Linked DNA regions of Caenorhabditis elegans. The protein of the gene in region 1 purifies or fractionates together with the protein of each later gene. This does not show direct contact. Each region holds a gene or a part of one and is shown in the gene's direction. Other genes may lie near its edges.

The links.
Region 2: the proteins of acox-1.1 (region 1) and Y47D3A.14 fractionate together in Caenorhabditis elegans (co-fractionation; one large-scale study listed by BioGRID). This does not show direct contact.
Region 3: the proteins of acox-1.1 (region 1) and elpc-4 fractionate together in Caenorhabditis elegans (co-fractionation; one large-scale study listed by BioGRID). This does not show direct contact.

What each region holds. Positions count from the first base shown.
Region 1 is NC_003279.8:12,935,354-12,944,069, forward strand, and holds acox-1.1 (Acyl-coenzyme A oxidase acox-1.1), read left to right. Parts: upstream 1-3,201; 5' UTR 3,202-3,208; coding exon 3,209-3,325; intron 3,326-3,379; coding exon 3,380-3,570; exon of another isoform or gene 3,571-3,949; coding exon 3,950-4,624; intron 4,625-5,198; coding exon 5,199-5,463; intron 5,464-5,510; coding exon 5,511-5,861; intron 5,862-6,292; coding exon 6,293-6,574; intron 6,575-6,623; coding exon 6,624-6,767; 3' UTR 6,768-6,871; downstream 6,872-8,716. Other genes in the region: tag-138 (ENTH domain-containing protein), read left to right, coding at 931-1,310, 1,585-1,696, 1,811-1,899; Acyl-coenzyme A oxidase acox-1.2, read left to right, coding at 6,955-7,065, 7,732-7,922, 8,189-8,716. UniProt on the Caenorhabditis elegans protein: Involved in the first step of peroxisomal beta-oxidation by catalyzing the desaturation of fatty acid-derived side chains.
Region 2 is NC_003281.10:11,233,866-11,240,211, reverse strand, and holds Y47D3A.14 (CMP/dCMP-type deaminase domain-containing protein), read left to right. Parts: upstream 1-3,343; 5' UTR 3,344-3,356; coding exon 3,357-3,406; intron 3,407-3,475; coding exon 3,476-3,578; intron 3,579-3,629; coding exon 3,630-3,782; intron 3,783-3,830; coding exon 3,831-4,031; intron 4,032-4,077; coding exon 4,078-4,306; intron 4,307-4,475; coding exon 4,476-4,603; 3' UTR 4,604-4,631; downstream 4,632-6,346. Other genes in the region: aakb-2 (Association with the SNF1 complex (ASC) domain-containing protein), read right to left, coding at 2,125-2,401, 2,453-2,847, 2,909-3,061; Y47D3A.34 (AcidPPc domain-containing protein), read left to right, coding at 5,351-5,496, 6,037-6,180, 6,230-6,346.
Region 3 is NC_003282.8:8,013,562-8,019,650, forward strand, and holds elpc-4 (Elongator complex protein 4), read left to right. Parts: upstream 1-3,432; 5' UTR 3,433-3,442; coding exon 3,443-3,578; intron 3,579-3,653; coding exon 3,654-4,064; intron 4,065-4,114; coding exon 4,115-4,572; 3' UTR 4,573-4,660; downstream 4,661-6,089. Other genes in the region: C26B2.8 (C3H1-type domain-containing protein), read left to right, coding at 732-792, 841-962, 1,008-1,101, 1,214-1,372, 1,417-1,478, 1,522-1,657, 1,708-1,836, 1,883-2,076; C26B2.7 (Cytochrome c oxidase assembly protein COX20, mitochondrial), read left to right, coding at 2,719-2,819, 2,870-2,972, 3,027-3,230; dnc-4 (Dynactin subunit 4), read right to left, coding at 4,742-4,958, 5,003-5,244, 5,289-5,721, 5,768-5,885, 5,931-6,058.

The sequences.
Region 1 (8,716 bases):
ATCCCGGAATACCCGCTTTTGGCAGCAATATTCTGGGATGTGCGGTAATTTTTATGATAATCTAACTTTTTTTTAAATCTAAAATAGATATAGAAGTGTAGAAAAAAGTTTGTTCCATCTGAAAATAATATTTATATTCTCGCCAAAAACTTTCGGAAAGGACCGGAAAATGTTTCATATGATTTGAAGAACGTAGAGAAAATTATACGTTCAAGAAATTTAGAAATAGTTCCAGGAAAAATTGAGGTTTTAAGTTGTAATTGCTCAGAACTTAGTTATATAATATTTATGTTGCTCGAAAATTTCCGGAAAACAGGAAAAAACGTTCCATCTGCAAAGAAGGCTTAGAAAATTTAGAATTTGATTTCAATTTTGAGTACGCCAGTCGGAGCACGCGCTTCAGCGCGTGCGAACGGCTGGTATATATATACAGTGCGTACAAGTTCTATACGCCACCCTCTAAATTTATGCCTGTGGCCACGTCTGTGCTTTTAAAAAAATTTCTGTTGATGCCATTCGATTCCAAATCTTAAAAAACGTATAGGCCCAAATTTTCATGACCTTACCTCAATAATTAAAACAATGTTCAATAAATCGAAAAATTGGCCGTACAACTTCTATACGCCACCCTCGATTTTTTGATGATTTTTCAAAAATTTACAATTTTTGAGAAGAAGTTGAACAGCACATTAATAAATTTGAGTGAATTTCGGTGCACAGTAGCTTTTCCTACAACCATAGAACAATTTTGCCCCAATTCGCAGATCCATGGAGTGCCAATGGCACCAGAGGGCCTGAAACGTGGACTGTATATATATATATGATAATTATACTTATTGAGTGGTAACGCGTATTTGAATCGTCTTTGGAATTACATGGGGATTCAAAAACTCAATTGCCACACCTTTGACACTTATTGGTGCATTTCAGTATATCTATTGTCCAACTCATCTCCACGATGGGATCCTAATACTCCACAAGGTCAATGCCTGATGCTTCCTCTGATAAGTGTAATAATGGATACCTGGCCATTCTTTATTTATATCGTCAGAATGATGTACAATCTGCACAGTAACGTGTCGCCACACGAATTGGAAGGCTATCGTTCCCGATTTCAGACAATTTTCGAGAAAACTAAACAATTCTACGAAGAGTGCTCAAAACATCAGTATTTTAGATGTTTTGTTCAAATTCCAACATTTCCATTGCATGCACCTAACTTTTTTACACAGTCAGATCTTGAATCTTATCAAACATATCTAATTGGAGAATCCAAGAAACTGACTGAAACAGTAACACCAGCAGAAGAGGTGAGATTCTTTATACAACAGTAATGTTATAGCGATTCAGTGAACACACGTAGAAGTGGGAAAAATAAGTGAAACTTTTCTAAAAAGTAGCACATTCATTCAAATTTTAGTTTACCGCGTAAATATTTTTGAACAGCTTTAGGTTCAATTTCATGACAGGGTTCGATTAATCTCAAGAAATTGGTGACACCAGTTATGCCTAGAGTTAGAGTCATGTACTATAAGTTCAACAAAGAGGAATAGTCACAGTAAAAACATTTTCCCGGTTTTTCAGGCCCGCACCCGAATTGAACATTATGAAAACCGTTTAAAAGAAATGCACGGGGAATTCCAGCATGTGAGACGAGAAGCTGATGAAAATCGAGAGGAGGTTCAGAGACTCAGATGTTTGTTTTAATTTTCCTCAGACGGCACCGGTATTAGAATGTATACAGGCACCTAGGCAGGCAGGAGCACGTGCCTGATTTCTAAATATGGTTTTCAAATAAAGTTACTTTCAGACGAGTTGGCACTCCGCGATGCTTCTAGGACTCAAAATCAAGCGGCTATCTATGACACTCCTCCGGATGAGTTCAGCATTAAATTTTAAAAGGAACTTTTCATAATCATCATTACTCCACTCAAAGTAGAACATCTCAGCATGTTTACATTCATTTAATATTTCATTAACAATAAATGTATTTTAATACTATTACTGGATATCCAGCTTTTCACAAAGCTAACCGATATGAAATTTTTAAAAAATACCGGAATGTACAAATGAGGTCAATTTTAAGGTAACGTTTATTGATCAAGAGCAGAACAGAATAAAACAAAAATCCGATAATAAACCGACCAACTTCAGAACAAAAATCCCAACAGACGCGATTTCTTCGTTAATTACAAAATAATATTAAACTAGCTGATGATTAAACTGACTTCAACTTTGAGAAATTTTATCAAAAGATCACAGTTTCTTCCACACAGAATACATCACTTTCTCTGCCTACATAATTTTTATCCCCCTTTTCTAATGTTATCACTTTTTGTCAATTCACTGGTTCAAAATTCTGACTATGAGAGTCACAATATAGCCTACATGTTACATGACTTCTTCCAATTCCCCCTTCCCATGCAATTTTCAATATCACGTTCCGTGACTACACTGTAGTCAATGGACATAAATGATTGGAAAATGGACGGTACAATGTGGTGTGGTGATAAGAGAGTTATCACCTCCTCCTTTCGTCTTCTATTTCTCTTTTGGTTTTGATGATCATTCTCTCGTCTTCTTATCATTTAAATTGAGTGCAGAGGCAGGTAGAAAAACTGAATTTATATTCAGTGGTTTTTTTTTCAAATTGTTAGTATTGCAGGTGTTAAGTTGAACGATTTATGAGCTCTTTTTCTAGACAGGCTTCTTTTTGATAAGAAATACTTTTTTGTATATTTTTTACAACTTTTCTGCTAACAGTGCCCTAACTGGGATATGAGACGAAATATGTAATCTAACAGATCTTTTTTTACAGTAACTATAGTTGTGTAATGTAGATACGGTATTTCCAAATTAAACTGAGATATAATATAAAAAATAGGCTAAAAATAAGATCAAGCTCTCGAAGAAACTGATCTGAAGCTCTTGCCAATTACATGCAGCTTCTGTAATTCATTTTTTCATATATTTAAGTTTCACTAAGATACCGTATTTCCTCTTTTTTTTGTAGATGCATTTTTATAAGTCTAAGTTTTAACTGTCATGGCAGGTGTAATACTTTTTGAACCGCTGCGTTAGATTCGAGCCAAGAGTTTCAATTTTCGTACAACTTATTGATATTTTTTAACTTTGTAGTACTTCGTACTTATCAATTTCAACCACATATGTTTTTTTTTCAAATTTTTAAAACTTTGTCAGTTTTAGTATGGTGCATCTCAACAAAACAATTCAGGAGGGTGATAACCCGGATCTCACTGCCGAACGCTTGACGGCAACATTTGATACTCATGCGATGGCTGCACAGATTTATGGGGGAGAAATGGTAAGCTATCTAGTCAAAATGGAATATTTGAATAACTGTCTCTAATGTTTCCAGCGCGCCCGTCGTCGTCGTGAGATCACCGCGAAGCTTGCAGAAATCCCAGAGCTCCATGACTCGATGCCACTTCCGTATATGACAAGAGAGGAGAAAATTATGGAAAGTGCTAGGAAACTGACGGTTTTGACACAAAGAATGTCAGAGATCATTGATCCAACTGATGCAGGCGAGTTGTATCATTTGAACAAGTAAGTGGACTTTTTTCTTGGACTAATACCCTTCGTTTGACAGGCTTAGGATTTTTCCTAAAATTACATGGAAAATTAATTTAGAAATCAGATTCAGCATATGAAATAGTTTTTGGTACAAAAATTTTATTATGATAACGTAAAAATAAGGAAAAGCAATTCTTTGGGATCTCATGAGATTTTTGAAAACATCGCCGAACTTTCATTTTTTTTTTACGTGCGAAACCATCCAGATTAAGGGCGATTCTAAAGAAGTTACGCTCACTGTACTTTAGTTTATCATATCAAAAATCAAAGTAGAATAATACAAAAATACAAGTTTAATAATGAAAGAGCTCTTCAAACTGAGCATTTTCCCAGAAAATCAATAATTTTCCAGCGAAGTTCTCGGAATCGAAGGAAATCCTATGGCTCTTCACGGTGTGATGTTCATTCCAGCCCTCAACGCTCAAGCTAGTGATGAGCAGCAAGCCAAGTGGCTCATTCGAGCGCTCCGACGAGAAATCATCGGAACCTACGCCCAAACTGAAATGGGTCATGGCACAAATCTTCAAAATCTGGAAACAACTGCTACTTATGACATTGGAACTCAGGAGTTTGTGCTTCACACTCCAAAGATCACCGCATTGAAGTGGTGGCCAGGGAATCTTGGAAAAAGCAGCAACTATGCAGTTGTAGTTGCACATATGTATATAAAGGGAAAGAACTTTGGACCACATACCTTCATGGTTCCATTGAGAGACGAGAAAACTCACAAACCACTTCCAGGGATTACAATTGGAGATATTGGACCAAAAATGGCTTATAATATTGTAGACAATGGATTCCTAGGCTTCAACAACTACCGTATCCCAAGAACGAATCTTTTGATGAGACATACCAAAGTAGAGGCTGACGGGACTTATATCAAACCACCACATGCAAAGATCAATTACTCTGCAATGGTACATGTGAGAAGTTATATGCTTACTGGACAGGCGATTATGTTGTCGTATGCGTTGAATATTGCAACAAGATACTCGGCAGTGAGAAGACAGGGGCAGATTGATAAAAAGTAAGTTGGAACTTTTATGAATAAGATCTGAAGAATACCAACTACTATTAGTAAAATAAAAAAGGGTTATAGGTTGAATTTCTTGGGTTGAGCTATCTCTAAATATATTTTTCATAACTAAAAAGCTTATTTCATGGCTTGAAAATAGATTCGTCTTTAGTAAGAATGATCATAACTATAACTATACATCAATACTTTTATGTGCATACCTATGTAGTACGTCTATTACCTTTATATATAGAAGTTCCGTAAATAACAGACTTCGCTGTGCCACTCACAACTTACATAACTTCTCAGTTTTGTTACTGTTACGAATTACGAACTACGATATGAATTACGCCTGTTAAACAATACAACGTAAATGTTACGAAAAATGTTACGTTTGATCAACAAAAAATGCGGGAATTTTCCCCCAGGAAAATGTGACGTCATCACGCAAAATCAGTTGAAAAATCTGCATCTCTTCTCCCGCATTTTTCGTAGAACAAACCAAAATGGGACACTTTGACACCACGTGCGAATTACGAGAAACTTAATTACTTGCAAACCCCATCCTCACTTATCCTCTTTCCAGTGAACCAGAGGTAAAAGTGCTCGAGTACCAAACCCAGCAGCACCGTCTCTTCCCATTCATCGCCCGTGCCTACGCTTTCCAGTTTGCTGGTGCCGAGACCGTGAAGCTTTACGAACGAGTACTCAAGGAGATGAAATCTGGAAATGTGTCTCTTATGGCTGACTTACATGCATTGACTTCTGGTTTAAAATCAGTTGTTACTCATCAAACTGGAGAAGGTATCGAACAAGCGAGAATGGCTTGTGGTGGGCATGGATATTCTATGGTAGGAATGTTATAATTGAAATTGCAAATTCTAAAGGAATGTTTCAGGCTAGTTACATCTCTGAAATCTACGGAGTTGCAATTGGAGGATGCACGTATGAAGGAGAAAATATGGTTATGCTTCTTCAACTCGCTCGTTACCTCGTCAAATCCGCTGCCCTTGTGAAGTCCGGAAAAGCTTCTCAGCTTGGACCACTGGTAGCCTACTTGGGCGCCAGAAGTGAGCCAACTAGCCTGATAGATAGAGTTCCAAATGGTGGAATCACGGAATACATCAAGACATTCCAACATATCGCAAAGAGACAGACGTTGAAGGCTGCCAACAAGTTCTTCGGATTAATGGAGAATGGAGAAAAGAGAGAAATCGCCTGGAACAAGTCATCCGTGGAGTTGAATAGGGTATGTTTGACTTATGCTTGTGATTTTTGAGAATACGAGTGATGGTACATTGTGGCCTTGATGTCCATTTGCCCATTTCCTTGCAGAAAATGCAAAACCTGCAAAACTTTAGATGCACTTTTGAGCTTGTTTATCAATATTTGTCAACAATCATTGAATTCTTATCAGTTGTCCCTGCAACCTTACTAGGAAAATTAGTTCAAACACCAAAATGTTGGAAAAGTGCATTTGCTATGTAGCAAAAACTGGTGAAATCTGGTAGAATTTTGTAAATCCGAAACCTTTTTTGGGCTCTATATTAGGGTGCATACTAGATACCAGAGCCGTATTTAAAGTTAAAGATGACTAAAGATTCTGAACACACTAGCTTAAGACATTGTAACAAAAGCGACACTCTTAAAATTAAAAGTCCGAAAAGTATATATTTCTAGGCGAGTCGCCTCCACACCCGCCTCTTCATCGTCGAAGCCTTTGCCAGACGAGTCAACGAAATCGGAGATATCACCATCAAAGAGGCTCTCAGCGATCTCCTCCATCTTCACGTCAACTATGAACTTTTGGATGTTGCCACGTATGCACTGGAAGATGGATTCATGTCATCCACTCAGTTGGATTATGTCAGAGATCAATTGTACTTCTATCTCCAGAAAATTCGACCAAACGCAGTTTCATTGCTAGATTCCTGGGAGTTTAGTGATAGAGAGCTGAGATCTGTAAGTTCCAAAGCTAATGGGTTCTAAAATTAAATAACTGAAATTTCAGGTCCTAGGCCGCCGTGATGGTCATGTCTACGAGAACCTTTTCAAGTGGGCAAAGGAAAGTCCGTTGAACAAGACAGATGTTCTTCCGTCAGTGGATACATATTTGAAGCCAATGATGGAAAAAGCCAGGCAGAGCAAGCTATAATTCTAATTTATATTTTTGATTTTTTTTTCTCTTGCATACTCTTTGCTTATACTGTTAAATATTTGAAAATGCAAACATTGCACTTATAAATAGTACAGGCCAATAATCACAACTCCGCCCATCACTCCTTTTATACCCTTTCCATCAGTTCATCCATCCATTCTTCTTTTTTGTTGATATCAGTAACATGGCGAACCGATCAATTCGTGATGGAGATAACCCCGAATTGCTGGAAGAACGGAGGATGGCAACTTTTGATACGGATAAGATGGCAGCGGTGATCTATGGAAGTGAAGAGGTAAGGACTGCAAACTACAAACTATTGATTACAAGCTTTATTAGGCTAATAGAAAATCAGATTATACATAATTTTAGTATGAATCAAGAGTTATCAAAGCTGAAATTTTATAATGTTTTAAAGCACAATGGAATGTATACATACATGTTCTTGAAAAATATTGTATACCTTAAGTGGAGACCATGTATGTTTCGCACCGTATAACTTAATCAGTTAGAACGACATGTTCCACCACGTGGCATTGAACAATAAAATCCCTGTAATTCCACAAAAATCAATTTTCGTCGTTTTCCCTTTGTCGGAAAAATTTTTTTTATTAGGTAAGATTAGATAGCCACTATTTTTTCTGAGAGATAGAGACCATAAAACGAAATACATATTCTGTCAATCAGCAGGAAAGTGCAAAAGTCAATGTTTCTAGTAGTGTGTAAAGGTTTCAGCAAACCATGAACATACATATGTATCAAGATTTTGGACAGTAAAGAAACAGGGAAATGAACTATCATAGTTTATGAGGGAAATTATCCCCGTCGATGCACCATGTTTCGAATGATTCAAACTTTGGTGCCTCACTTTGGTTGATTGCATTTTTTTTTGAAATAATTAATTGTCAACTTATTAAATGAAAAAAAAACTGTCTTAATACATAGAAAATTATTTGTTCAGTTCGCTCGTCGCCGTCGTGAGATCACCGACGCCGTGTCCAAGATCCCTGAGCTCGCCGACATCAAGCCCTATCCATTTTTGACTCGAGAGGAGAAGGTGACCGAGGGCACCAGAAAAATATCGATTTTGACAAAATATCTGAATCAGCTGATTGATAGAGATAATGAAGAAGAAAGTTTGCACCTGCATCGGTAAGGATTTTCTTTTCAAATTCAGTGTGATTTGGTAGATCTCACTTAATTGTCTCATACGTCGGTTTTATTTAGGTTTATAGAAAATTTGTTAACTGGTACAGTATTGTTTATCTGCTTGCTTGCAACTTTGTTCTGAAGTATATGCTAGCGCCTACCGATTTCCGTCAAGAGCTTCCATGAAAAATTTTGAAAAAATAAACCTCAAATGTTTGCCACTTTTCCTTTAAACTTTTCTCACAATCAGGTAAATTCCCACTTTCCAGAGAAGTGATTGGCTACGAGGGTCATCCCTTCGCTCTCCATGACGCTTTGTTTATTCCAACCCTTCAGTCACAGGCTAGTGATGAACAGCAGGAGAAATGGCTCGAGAGAGCTCGGCGACGAGAGATCATTGGATGTTATGCGCAAACTGAGCTCGGTCACGGCTCAAATCTTAGGAATCTTGAAACAACTGCAGTCTATGACATTGCTTCCCAGGAGTTTGTACTACATACTCCTACGACAACGGCGTTGAAGTGGTGGCCTGGAGCACTTGGGAAGAGCTGTAACTATGCATTGGTTGTAGCTGAACTGATTATAAAGAGAAATAACTATGGCCCCCACTTTTTTATGGTGCAGCTGAGAGATGAAAAAACCCATATTCCACTAAAAGGCGTTACCGTAGGAGATATCGGGCCTAAAATGAACTTCAATGCGGCGGATAATGGGTACCTTGGGTTGAACAACTTGAGAGTTCCACGAACAAATCTTTTGATGAGACATTGCAAAGTAGAGGCGGATGGGACGTATGT
Region 2 (6,346 bases), on another chromosome or scaffold:
AAAAATTGAGTCAAAAACCTCTGTTTTTGGCAATTTTTCAAGGTTTTCAATTTTTTGCTAATTTTTTAAAGCTTTTTTTCTCCAAAAATTCATTTTTCGAGCTCAAAACGGCGAATTTCAGCGAAAAAACGATGAAAATAACACATCGAAATCCAGTTCTCTTTGGCATATTTGTTGTTGTTGGCTGGTGGCAGAGGAGAAGGAAAAGTCAACTGAAAGAGACCGAAAAAAACAAAAACAATTGCTTCGCGACACGAGGAAAAACAGAAAACAGAACGAAAAAAAAAGTAAAAACGAGGCGAAAAATGTTCGAAAATAAACAAATAACGCTGGCTTTTTTCTTTTTTGTTGCCAAAATGTGTGGAAACTAATCGAATTAAAAGTGAAAATGCTCAAAATCTCAGTGAAAAACATGAAAATAGAGTGATTTTCACTAGAAAATCGGCTAAAAATCGAATTTTTAGCTTGCAAAAGCCCGTTTTTTGTAGGGAATTTTATGGTTTTTCGCTCTGAAATCGGTTTTTTCAATGAAAATTCGATTTTCTACTGACAAAAAGGTAATTTGAACGATTTTTAGATTAAAATCTGCATTTTTATGTGGATTTTTAGTTAAATTTCGATTTTGGTATACATTTTACGAGTTTCAGGCAAATTTCCGCTCTGAAATCGATTTTTTTGATCAGAAAATCATTGATTTTATTATTTTTTGGCCTAAAAATCCGCATTTTGAAGTTTATTTTCAGTGCAAATTTAGTTTTGGTGAATTTTTTCCTAAAAAAAACGACTAAACGTGGGATTTTTTAGCTAAAAATCCCTATTTTTGTCGCAAAAAATCGAAATTCGCAGTTACAGAGTCAAATGACGAAGATTTTCAGCTAAAAAATGATTAAAAAGCACTAAAAGCATCAAGCGTGGGCGAGCACAATTTTCAATTAAAAAAAAACACACACAAACATAGATATACAAGTACCGTGCGAAACGGCTACTGTAGCTCAAGCCAGCAAAAGGGGAAAAATCGATGAAAAATGTATTAAAGGGACAGAAAACTACGAGACAGAATCTTTTTTGAGGCGAAAAAAATAAAAAAAAATCAAAAAAGAAAGTGGAAAAAAAAACAAGAAACGAGGGAGATGGTGAACAAATTGGAATGTCAAATTATTCACAGTGGATTTTTTAAAAGAAACTGATTTCAAAAATTAGGGCTTCCATGGTAGGCAGGCGCGGTTTCAGACGTCTGCCTGAAACCTGTCCGCCTCACTTTTGCCTATTCTCTGCGTTTTGACGTGAATTTTTGGCGGGAGGCAGGCGGAGGTCGCCTACATGAAAGCCCAAGAAAAATACGAGAAAAATAGGAAAAATAAAGCTGTTGGAAGTAGAAGAAGAAGAAAAGGGGCAGGGAAACATTGAGAATTGGTATATACACTCAGCTGATTGGTAGTGTGGTAAAAGTGGGTTCCAAGGGGGCAGACCGTATTAAATAAGAGTTGGCTACGACGTTTTTCGTTTCTTAAAACACTATTGGAAATAGAACAGAAAGAAAATTAATGGGGGAAAAAGAGGCGACTATAATACAAAAACTAAAGAGTGGGAGAAAATTTTGGAACTTTGGTCTCGGGAGCTTGAAAAATCAAGATTTTTCTACAAAAAATCCAAAAAAATCGAGATTTTTCAATTTTGAAGCACGACCAATCAGGGCTTAGCTCCGCCCACTTTTCAACCAATCACAACCCCATGGCGCGGTTTTTGCTGTCTTTTTGTGTTTAATCGATTTTTTTTCGGTTTTTTTCCCCGAATTTTGCAACGGAAAACAACAATTTTTGTCTTTATTCCTGAAAAAAGATGATGCAAAACGATAAGTTTATGTCGTTTTGCTTAATTTTTTTCAGAAATAGAGACAAAAAAGGCTATATTTTGGGAAAAATGGTAGATTTCTATTTAAAAATAGTTAAAAACACTTTTTTTAAAAGAATATAATCGAGCGAAATCAAGAAATTTTGAATTAAAAATAGGAAAAACCGTACCGCAGTATGATTGGTTCAATAGTGGGCGGAGCTAATCGCTGATTAGTCAGGGCATTTTTTTCGATTTTTTTCAACAAAAAACCCCACAAAACAAGAAAAACAGTTAGACAGGCTTGTAGAGAAGAGTGGTGACGAACTTCTTGCGATAGCGTTGCGTCGATGAGAGCACCATAACGCTGTCCTTGATGGAGAGCGCGTACATGTGGTTGAGCATCACATGATTCGGCTCCGGCAGCACATTCGGATCGCATGACTCGGGCGTCTCCTTGTTGAGAAGCACCTGCATGAGTTGTGGTGGAATTACTGGTGGTCCGGCTGCCTTCCGAAGCATATCCATTGATGGGATCTCTTGGGTGAAGGAGCGCAGTTTTTCGAGCTCTCTGAAAAAGTTTTTTTTAGTTTTTTAGTGAACATTTCTGAAGTTTTCTCACCTGTCATTCGGAGTATCATGATTCTTGGTGCTCTCCGACTCGCCACGGAGCACCTCCCCGGCTGTAGATGACTGGAAGTCTTCATCCAGCGCTTCGAAAACTGCAAAATCCGAGTCTTGAATATTGATCATATTGTTCTCATTTCCATGAACGTCCTGTGCCTTTCCCTGATTATCGTCGACGACCCACGAGCCGTCCACTTGGAATTTGTACTCGTATTGTCCGGGTTGCAGGTCGATGATTGTCGAAAAGTCGTTTGTCGACTTTACCATCGGGATCCGCGTCTGCCAGTTATCCCATGATCCAACGATATGGACGACACGTGGCTGTGCGTTTTGTGTGAAACTCCAGCGGAATACCACTGGGCATTCGCCGGATTTGTCCTCATTTCCGTCCTGAAAATATTGAAAAATAATTTAAAAAAGGAATTTTTGGGATTTTTTGTGAAAATCTCACATCAAAAATCATCGGCGGTCCTCCATCCGGGTTCGGGAGTACTTGTCCGGCGATTTTTGCCGTTTCGCTCATCATCCGATGCCTTCGGAGGCCCGCCTTGTCGTTTGGGCCTCCATAGCGGGCGTCGGGCCCTCCAGACTGATTGTTGCCCATTTTCTTCTGGAATTTTCGCAATAAATCGATGAAATAAGGTGGAAAGAAGATTGAGAATTGAAAAAATGTGAGAAATCTCGGAAAAACCGACGAAAATTGATAAAAGTGACGGGATTAAAAATAAATAAACAGCTGCAAAATGCACATGATTCGGGTGCGGCGCGGAAATGTGGGCGGGGCGGAGGCAGGCAATGCCGCCGCACACTTTTTTCCATATTTATTTTTTGGATTTATTTATTTAATTTTTGCCGTTTTATCTATTTTTAAACAGTTTTTTTTCAGATTTGCAAGGAAAATGTCACTGGAAGAGCCTCCGGAAAAAATTAGAAAAATCGATACGATGAGGTAAGCCGTAAAAACCATTTTTGAAATAAAAATCCTCAAAAATCCTCAAAAACAACAACAAAATTCCAGAATTAAAGTCTACCCAATTCTGGATTCAACTCTCACTTGCGACACAATCCCATCGACTTCCTTCCAAGCTTTACGACTTGAAAACAAGAAAATTATTGGGACAGTAGGGAAACTTACCCTTTCCCCAAAATTAGTCGAAATTCTATATTTTCAGATTATCAGGCGACTTCCAGAACTTCCAGAAGAGCTTTCACACTTGAAAAGAGTCGGAAAAGACGGAAGTGTGCTGATAGCAGAGTCGGAGGAAGTCGCAAAGCTTATCGTGGGAAAGTTGGAGGACGCAGAAGCTCGGGTGGAAGATTTAGTGGTAGAAAATCAAAAAAAATCTGAAAATTCCTAATTTTTCAATTTTCAGCCAGTAAAAGTCGCGAGAACCAAGCCACAGACCCGACGGCAATTCCAAGTGGCTAAGGAGCTCTGGCCAACAGGATTTCACCCGAATCATGAGCTCGAGCAACTTCTAGACGGCTCTTTTCTCACAGAATCGCTGAAAAAATACGTGGATCGATGGCTCGGCGAAGCTGCTCGGCTGGGGGATGGTTGTATAGCTGTGCAGGTAATTTGCACCGCCTGAAAAATCCAAAAAATCCAAAAAATTCCAGAACGACGAGCTCCTCTCCACGGGCCGCCCGTCTTCCCATCCACTCGGCCACCCGGTAATGGAAATGGTTGGAAATCTGCCGAAAAGACACGGCGATGACTATCTTGGCACCGGATCCGACGTTTTCCTCATCACGGAGCCCTGTGCAATGTGCTCAATGGCTTTGGTGCATTTTCGTGTGAAGCGGGTTTTTTACGCGCGGAATTCCCGGAATGGCGTGTTGAAAGAAGGTTTGAAATGGAGAAATATTGAGAAAAAACCAGAAAAATTCATTTTTCCCACTGATTGCATATGAAAATTTAGAAATTTTTGGGTGAAAATCAACAAAATTCAATTTTTAAAAAACTTTTTTCATTTAAATTTCTCGATTTTCGTGTCAAAATTAAAATTAATTTTTAGACGGCTGGCAACTGCACCTGGAGCCCTCCATCAACCACCACTACGAGGTTTTTCGTGTTGAAGGCCTTCTGGATAATAATTATATTGTTGATAATTCTGACCGTTTTTGTTCCAATATTCAATTGTGAAGTTTTTTTTTTAATAAAAAAACAATACAAAATTGGTGGCCGAGTTCTTTACATCTCACGGCCACGTAGAGCTCAATCAGTGGAAATTACAGAAAGTTTCGAGTTTTGTTAATTTTTCATGTGAAATTGTAGTCTCTTTGTAGATTTTTTCCCAACTTCAGAGGTTTTAAATGTTTTTTGCATTAAAATCACCCCTACAGTACCCATATAATACACCTACAGTACCCCTACGGTACCCTGCAGTACAGTAAGCCAACAGTACCCCTATATTACCCTTACAGTATGACTACAGTACCCCTACAGTACCCTGCAGTACAGTAATCATACAGTACACCTATGATACCCCTACATTGCTCCCACAGCATGACTACAGTACCCCTACAGTACCCGTAACGTACCCATACAGTTCCCACATCGTACTTCTAGCAACTGTACCTTCCTGCAGCATACCGTTTATGTCAAACTACAGTTATTCTACAGTTTCTAAAATCTATCTACAGTATCTGCAGATCATCTTTCAAACGTGAAATGGATATTTTAGATATTGAAAAGCATTAGCCTTCTCCTTTTTCCTGAAAAAAAAGGTTTCCCAAGAAATCCCAACCTAAAATCGAATTTGCCGGCGGGTTCACACAATCCACAAAACAATCCGTTTACCCCGTACTCCTCCTCCTTTTGTCAAGAATTCACCCCGCAAAAAGTTTCAATTTTGCTCAAGCTTTCACTTTCCCTACTTTTCCAGGAAAAATGCACCCGAAAGTCAAAAAATCCTGGGAAATTTTGAAAATCTGCGTGTTTTTTCTGACGCTGTTCACTTTACTGTTTGCCACGTCGATTATCAATTTCTATCTGACACCTAGATTTTCAGGGCTCTGCGATTTTTATGATTATGGGTGAGTTTGTTGGTAAAAATTGATTTTTTTAATTTTGGAAATAAAATATTACTATACAGATGTGGACTAGTACTTTTTTTTATATTTTTTTTAGTAGGCTAGGGTTACTGTGGAGTACTGTAACATTGCGGGGGTACTGTAGTAGGCTTAGGGTTACGATTCTGGCTACTGTAGGATTACTGTAGTTTAAGGTTCATATATTCTGCCAGTTCTGTGATGTGTGTGATGGTTTAGTAGTACTGTAGGTATACCGTAGGGTTACTGTAGCTTGGGAAATTTTAGCTTTTGTCTATAGAAGAGGTGTTGGGTTGGAAGTTGGTGGGGGATCATGTCAAGGTTCTGTAGTGGTACTGTAGGGGTACTGTAGGTATACGGTAGGGCTACTGTAGGCTAATGATACTGTAGAGCCACGACCTGAAACTGTATAAATAGGTACCTAGAGTAGCCGTTGCCTACCGTAACCATATAGGATCGTGGCCCTGTAGTACCATTGGCCTACCGTAATATCATAAATGTAAGGTTACTGTAGGATTACTGTAGAATTTTGTTTTTCATAAATGCCACGTCATCGGACGTTACAAAAGAGGAATGTGAATCTCAGCGCCGGGCTACCATATTATTCATCGTTTTCTGTCTGGTTCGGCTGATTTCCAATAAATTCGAGAATTTTATCGGGACTAAATTGTGAGTTATCGACTTTTTTTTGGATTGTTTGCAAACCTTTGATTTGCAGCCTAAGAACCTGCTCGGTGCGTTCCACATTTCCTGGTCGACATTTTGGAGCTGCTCTCGGCTTCCCGTACCTTACAAGAAGCCTATCGAAAAGCATTCGAGTCGGCAGTGCACCTGT
Region 3 (6,089 bases), on another chromosome or scaffold:
ACGTGTAACAGACCCTCATCTTGTTGATATGGAAGAGCATATTAATAATTTCGTTAGTAACTATCTAGCTGCCAGACAATCTCACTTCCACACTTACAATCACACTCAGACAGAATACTTCAACTTGCTACCGTAATATTGTTTATTGTCGCCTTCCGGTTTAATTGCAGGTGCACCAATCTCCACCTTCACTCACGAATCACCTTCTTTGACCTACATTTTCAACTTGTAAAGACACCTGTGAAACATCATGGTACGGTACATTGGAGATACTGTTGACTTTCAAACAATTACAGAATCGATTAAAAAACTATTTACTGTTAGATACAGGTTACTTGGTATTACACACCCACTTCGCCTTCATACACTCTTCACTTTTTCCAAAGATCTAAAGATTGAGCACACAAGAGAAACTACAGAATGGTCAGTAATTATCGGCAGATTAAAAAGATATTTCCCTGCGTTCACACCCTTTCTTTGTCTATCCTAGTACCCATGAGAACCGTCAGATAACGCCGAGTTTTTTTTTGGAAATCGATTTCATATTCCAAGTTTGGTCAACAAGAATGTGTTGGGCATCATGTTTGCGAGCGGATTTGGATTGGCACGTAAATATAAACAAACGCTTCCTGCTCGAGGTGCGACCATGGGCTCCGCGGTATATAAATCACCGAGAAATGCTACATTTCATAGCCGTCTTCCTTATTTGTTTTTTGCCAGCTATCGATAACATGCTCAACACGGTTTTTATTATGCTACTTCTCCCCGCAGCAGGATTATGTGCTAGATACAGTAAGATTGAAATTCAAAGTTAGGCTGTGTTTACAGTGAAAATTCTAGATTCACACCTCGTCAAAGGATGGTCCAATTCGGATTGTGTTCGCCCTTGGCAACAACCGTTAATGAGTAAACCAACATTAAGAATACCATCGAGAGCTATCGAATGCCATCCAGAAGAACACGTAGGTCTATTTTATGAAGAGTTCAATAATCAGAACCAATTACAGGATTGTCCAACAGGAAGAAATGCGGTATGCCAATACTCATTAAGAAGTCAGAAATATGTCTGCTGTGAGGACAAGAAAGATGCCGACATCCCGAGTGAGTTGACGCGACGATCTCTTTGACACATTGCCGTCTTCCTCCCGCCACGTGTCAAAGAGACCGCACGTATCTCTCATACTTCCGGTACGATCTAATATTCTTCTTTCAGCATGTCCAAAGTTCTATGAGACTCTTCTCTTGCCATGTGGGAATTCAGTTGATTCGCAATGCCCACGTGGATACCGATGTCTGGGAAGTCTCGGAGATGATTCGGTTAAACTTTGCTGCAAACCTAACAGAACATTAGAATACAGAGAACCAGAACACAGTAGGTGGCTGAGATAAAAGAATAAGGACATAATATTATTACAGCATTCCGAGAGAATCGAATTGTCCCTCGTCTGTTGCCAGTTGCTCCGGCATATGAACTAATTGTATGTTAAATGATGAATATAATACTAAACAACTTGATTGTAGGCAACCTTTAGCGACGAACAAATATCGATGGGTCAACTTTTCGACGCTGATATACTGGACAAACTTGCAGATCCTCCAGTCATGTCAGCAGGAGTTGAACTTCAAGACGAGAAGCTCTATACAATTATACTTGCAGGTTTTTTTGCTACAGTTAATTACAGGTATAATAAGCATTGTTATTGACAGATGCTACCTCAAAGGCTGTCACTTGGCTGGTTGCAAATATTGCGGCATTTGATGGACAGCTTGAGATTCATAGAAGAACAAAGTCTGCTGTGTCTTATCAACCCCCAGATTCTACTGATAGACCAGTTGGTAAGCTCGAATATATTTTTTCGTAATCTTAAACACAAAATTTAAGGAATGCACACCATGATTCTTGCGCTCTATGAGCAGAATGACACGTGGACACAGAAAGATTTGGCTAGAATTGCAATGGATGATTTCAACTTTACAGAATGGCTTGAAGAATATGCCCATGTACTTCCTGCACAGGCACTTGCAGCAACATTTTATGGATATTCTACTAAAAAGGACGATAGAAAACGAATCTAATTTATAATAACTTAAGATTCCTATTTATGTACAAATTTTAATATATAAAAAGAATGAAACATACGATAAAAAGTTACTAAAAAATAATTAAAATGAGAAAAAAAAACAATGTTAAAATTAGCGGCGAAAAGCTAGATTATTTACGATAAACAACATGCGCGCCCGTCATTTCGGAGTCTCGTAGTTTCAACAATCTTTTTTTTTGAGGCCCCACGAAAAGGGGAGCAGAACGAAAAGGGGATCTGAAAAAAGGGGATCTGCGAAAAGGGGAGATACGAAAAGGGGAGATACGAAAAGGGGAGCAACGAAAAGGGGATCTGACACTGTGCCAAACGCTATTTTTCTCGAAGAAAACGATACAACGATGCTCCGATGTTACGCGTCGCGTGTTGTTAAGCGTATCTTCTAGAAGAAAATTTCAAAAATCAACGTGCGTTGCGTGAGAAAAATTGCGTTTTGTGCGTTTGGCACAGTGCCAGCTCCCCTTTTCGTTGCTCCCCTTTTCGTATCTCCCCTTTTCGTATCTCCCCTTTTCGCAGATCCCCTTTTTGCAGATCCCCTTTTCGTTCTGCTCCCCTTTTCGTGGGGCCTCTTTTTTGAGGAAATTAATTTTATAAAATTATTTTGAATTTCCTTTTTAAGATGCTTCGCATTATCCAACGTATTCCTACTGAACGATATCTCTGTACTCTTCCTGTGAAAAATCCAAAGCTTCACAGAACTAAAGATCAGAGAGATATTACGTAAGATTATGCTTTTTTAAACCTTCAAGTTTTTAATCAACAATTTTCAGAAACATGGACTTACTTGAAGAACAAATTCGTATTAAAAGCGCAGAAAAAAATCGCGAAATGACAATACAAGGACAGAAAGTGAAATGGGCTTATCGATCAGAGGTAAATTATATATACTGAAGAATATTCTAAAAACTGATTTAAATTGATTTCCAGCTTGTCGGCCGACATGACCTCGATAAAAATCATCGTAATACATGGATGGCTTACCTAATCATTATTCTTGTCGGATTCGGTGCGTTTGTAACAGTGAAATCTCAGGTGGTAATGGGTCGACGCCAGGAAATGGATGCTCGCGAAGCTCTCAGAAAGGAGCTGCAATTGAGTGGAGACGATCGAAAAAAGATTGGAGTAGTCTGATAATAATTCATATTGTTTTATTGCGGGTTTCTTTATATATTTTTTAGTTAGAACCCTATTTTTGTTTTTAGAAATAATAATTAGTTTGTTTAAATCTCATTTTTCTTTTCTGTTTCTCAAATTACATTATGGTTTGGTAATAACCTTGCAAATATTTTTATCGTAATTTCCTGGTCAACATCAATATTTCATATTTTTAAAGTAATTTCAGAATGTTGAACGTTGGTGATAGTGTTCAAATTGCCGGATGTTCAACAAAGAAACGCTTACTGGAAACTTCAAGTGGTTGCGATTCATTTGACACACTCATTGGAGGAGCTTTAGTTAATTCAAGTATTGTTCTCATAGGTAATTTATTAATTTAGTTGCTACCTGTTCATTAAATACCCGCTAACCTAAAATTAAAATCACATTCATTTTCAGACGAGTATCGTTCTCGTTGCTATGGATCTTATCTCATTCGTTCATTCCTCGCAGAAGGACTTCATCATGGTCATCGATGCTTCATTGCGGATCCCACGGAAGATCCCAAAGAGATCAATCTCATACCATCTAGAAGAACATCCACGGATATGCAAAATCAAGAAATTCCAAATTCTCTGCCGGCAGAAAATGAAAACTCGATGAAAATTGCGTGGCGGTATGGAAATGTAAAACAAGTTTCCTCTTCCCTTGGACCATTAAGCAACGAAAATCAGTATGACTTTACGAAGCATGTAGAGAATCCGAATGTTGACGTGTATGCGGAGAAAGTTTTTACGCTAAAAGGGATTTACGAGACGCTCTGCCAAATTGTAAAAGAAAATGAAGCTCACACAAAATCCGGCGGAAGAGGTGAGATTTTTATTGAATTATTATACATAAACTAATGAATTTTACTTCAGGTGGACCGAAAAAGAATCTTCTTCGAGTGGTTCTGAAGAATATCGATATGGAAATTTGTGAAGATTACAAGTTCCTTGGCCGATTCCTGTGCTGTCTCCGATCTTTAGCTCGTTCGAGTTACATGATTGTATACATCACGGCTAACTCCTTCAGAGTTCCGAAACCAACTTGGCGTATACTGGAATCCGCAGCTGATACACATATTCAACTGATGCCGTTTGATGAAAATGAGAAGAAAATGTTCAAACATCTTGGCACTGCTCATGGATACTTCCATTTGAAGAGTTTGCCCCGATTGATGTCCGTTGGAACACACACTCCACCGATTCTCGATCTTATTTTTGAAGCAAGTTCCAGAAAAGGTTTCCAAATTCGAGTGATGCATCTTCCACCTGCATTTGATGAGCCAGCTCCAGGTCATCAAAATACTCCATCTTGCCAGAATATTGATTTTTGATTTTCTCGATCATGTTTATTTGTTGTTGGGATGTTTGAATGTTGAATTTTAAAGTATTTAATTTAAAGCATAAAAACGTCTTCTAAATATTTAACAAAGCTTATAAATTATGTTTAAGAAAAGACACGCTGTGGTAGAGAAAGGATAGAAACAAATATACATGAAATGATTATCTGAGATCTACTTTTAAATTAGCAGAGAGAATTGGATCAGGACACGTTTCTTCTGGTTTCAATATTTTGTCACTAGCGGAGGAGAGACGGAACGATCCATCCTGACAATATGTAATCAAAAGATTGAGACATGGAGAAGAGAGATCCATCTCGGTGGGAATAACATCCAGTCGAAGGCCAACTCGGTTGTGCTGTCGGAACACGATGACGTCACTGGAATACCATTTTTAGTCAATTAAAAACAAGAAAAAACTAACCTTTGGTCAGCATGAACTCCAGGAGCAGCAGTATCCGATGCTCGCGATGATGGAAGAAGAAGCTGGATTGGATCACTGGAACATTGAATGAAACCATTTCCAGATTGAGGTGCGATAGTCAAATCCATTGCAGATGATGATAAGTTGGTAATAGAGAGAAATACGTGTGATGTCTCCCCAACTTTAAGATCATCAACCGGTCGAGACATTCTGATGTCAGGAACAAATTGACGGGCAAATGACTGAAATTTAAACTTTTTACATTATTGTTGAATGAGCTACTCACCGAAATTTTAAATTTAAAGGTAGTAACTCCGAAGTCTCGTTTGATAAGAGTTCTTTCGCACTCATCACATCGAACTTGAACTCTTCCAGCCAGAGGAACTTGTACAGGAAGGAGTGGCTCAGAGATATTGATCAATGGTTGCATTATGATTTGATCGAGAGTTCTCAGATCATCCGTTCTTTCTTTAATCTCATCTTCAAGAGTCGGCGCTTCTGTTGGAGCATGTGCATCAACTGGATTCATTTCAGGAGCCAGTGCTTTTTTCCGCTTATCTACCATTTGTTGAAATCCAAACTTGTCTTTCAAGTGAAAAGCAGTCCAGGCTTTGCCCGATTTTCCCTTTTTCAAATCTTTTGGAGCATTTTCAATCAATTCAAGTCTCTTCATGTATGCCGTCACCTCACCAAGTTGATTAACCAATGGATTTTCTTTTCTGTATAAATAAAATGTCATAAGATCATATTTACAGTTAGTCATACGTTGGCCAGGATTTAGTATTCTCTTGATCTTCTTGATTCGCTTCTCTTGAAGACCAACGACAGTACTGACAAACCAAATATACATTATCATTTTCTGTACGAGCACTCAGAACGTTAGCTGAAAATATTCAAATATATTTACAAAATAGTGGATAAATCATACCACACTTAGGACAATCATTGCAACTTGCGCATTTATGCTTTTTAAGTCTTGCTTCAGGGACGCTTGATGGTTCAAGGCATCGAGGACAGAAAATATTGTCAACTTCTCCCAAGCTACAGTCATCACACCTGGAAAAGTTGGTTAATTTTTTTTTTCAAT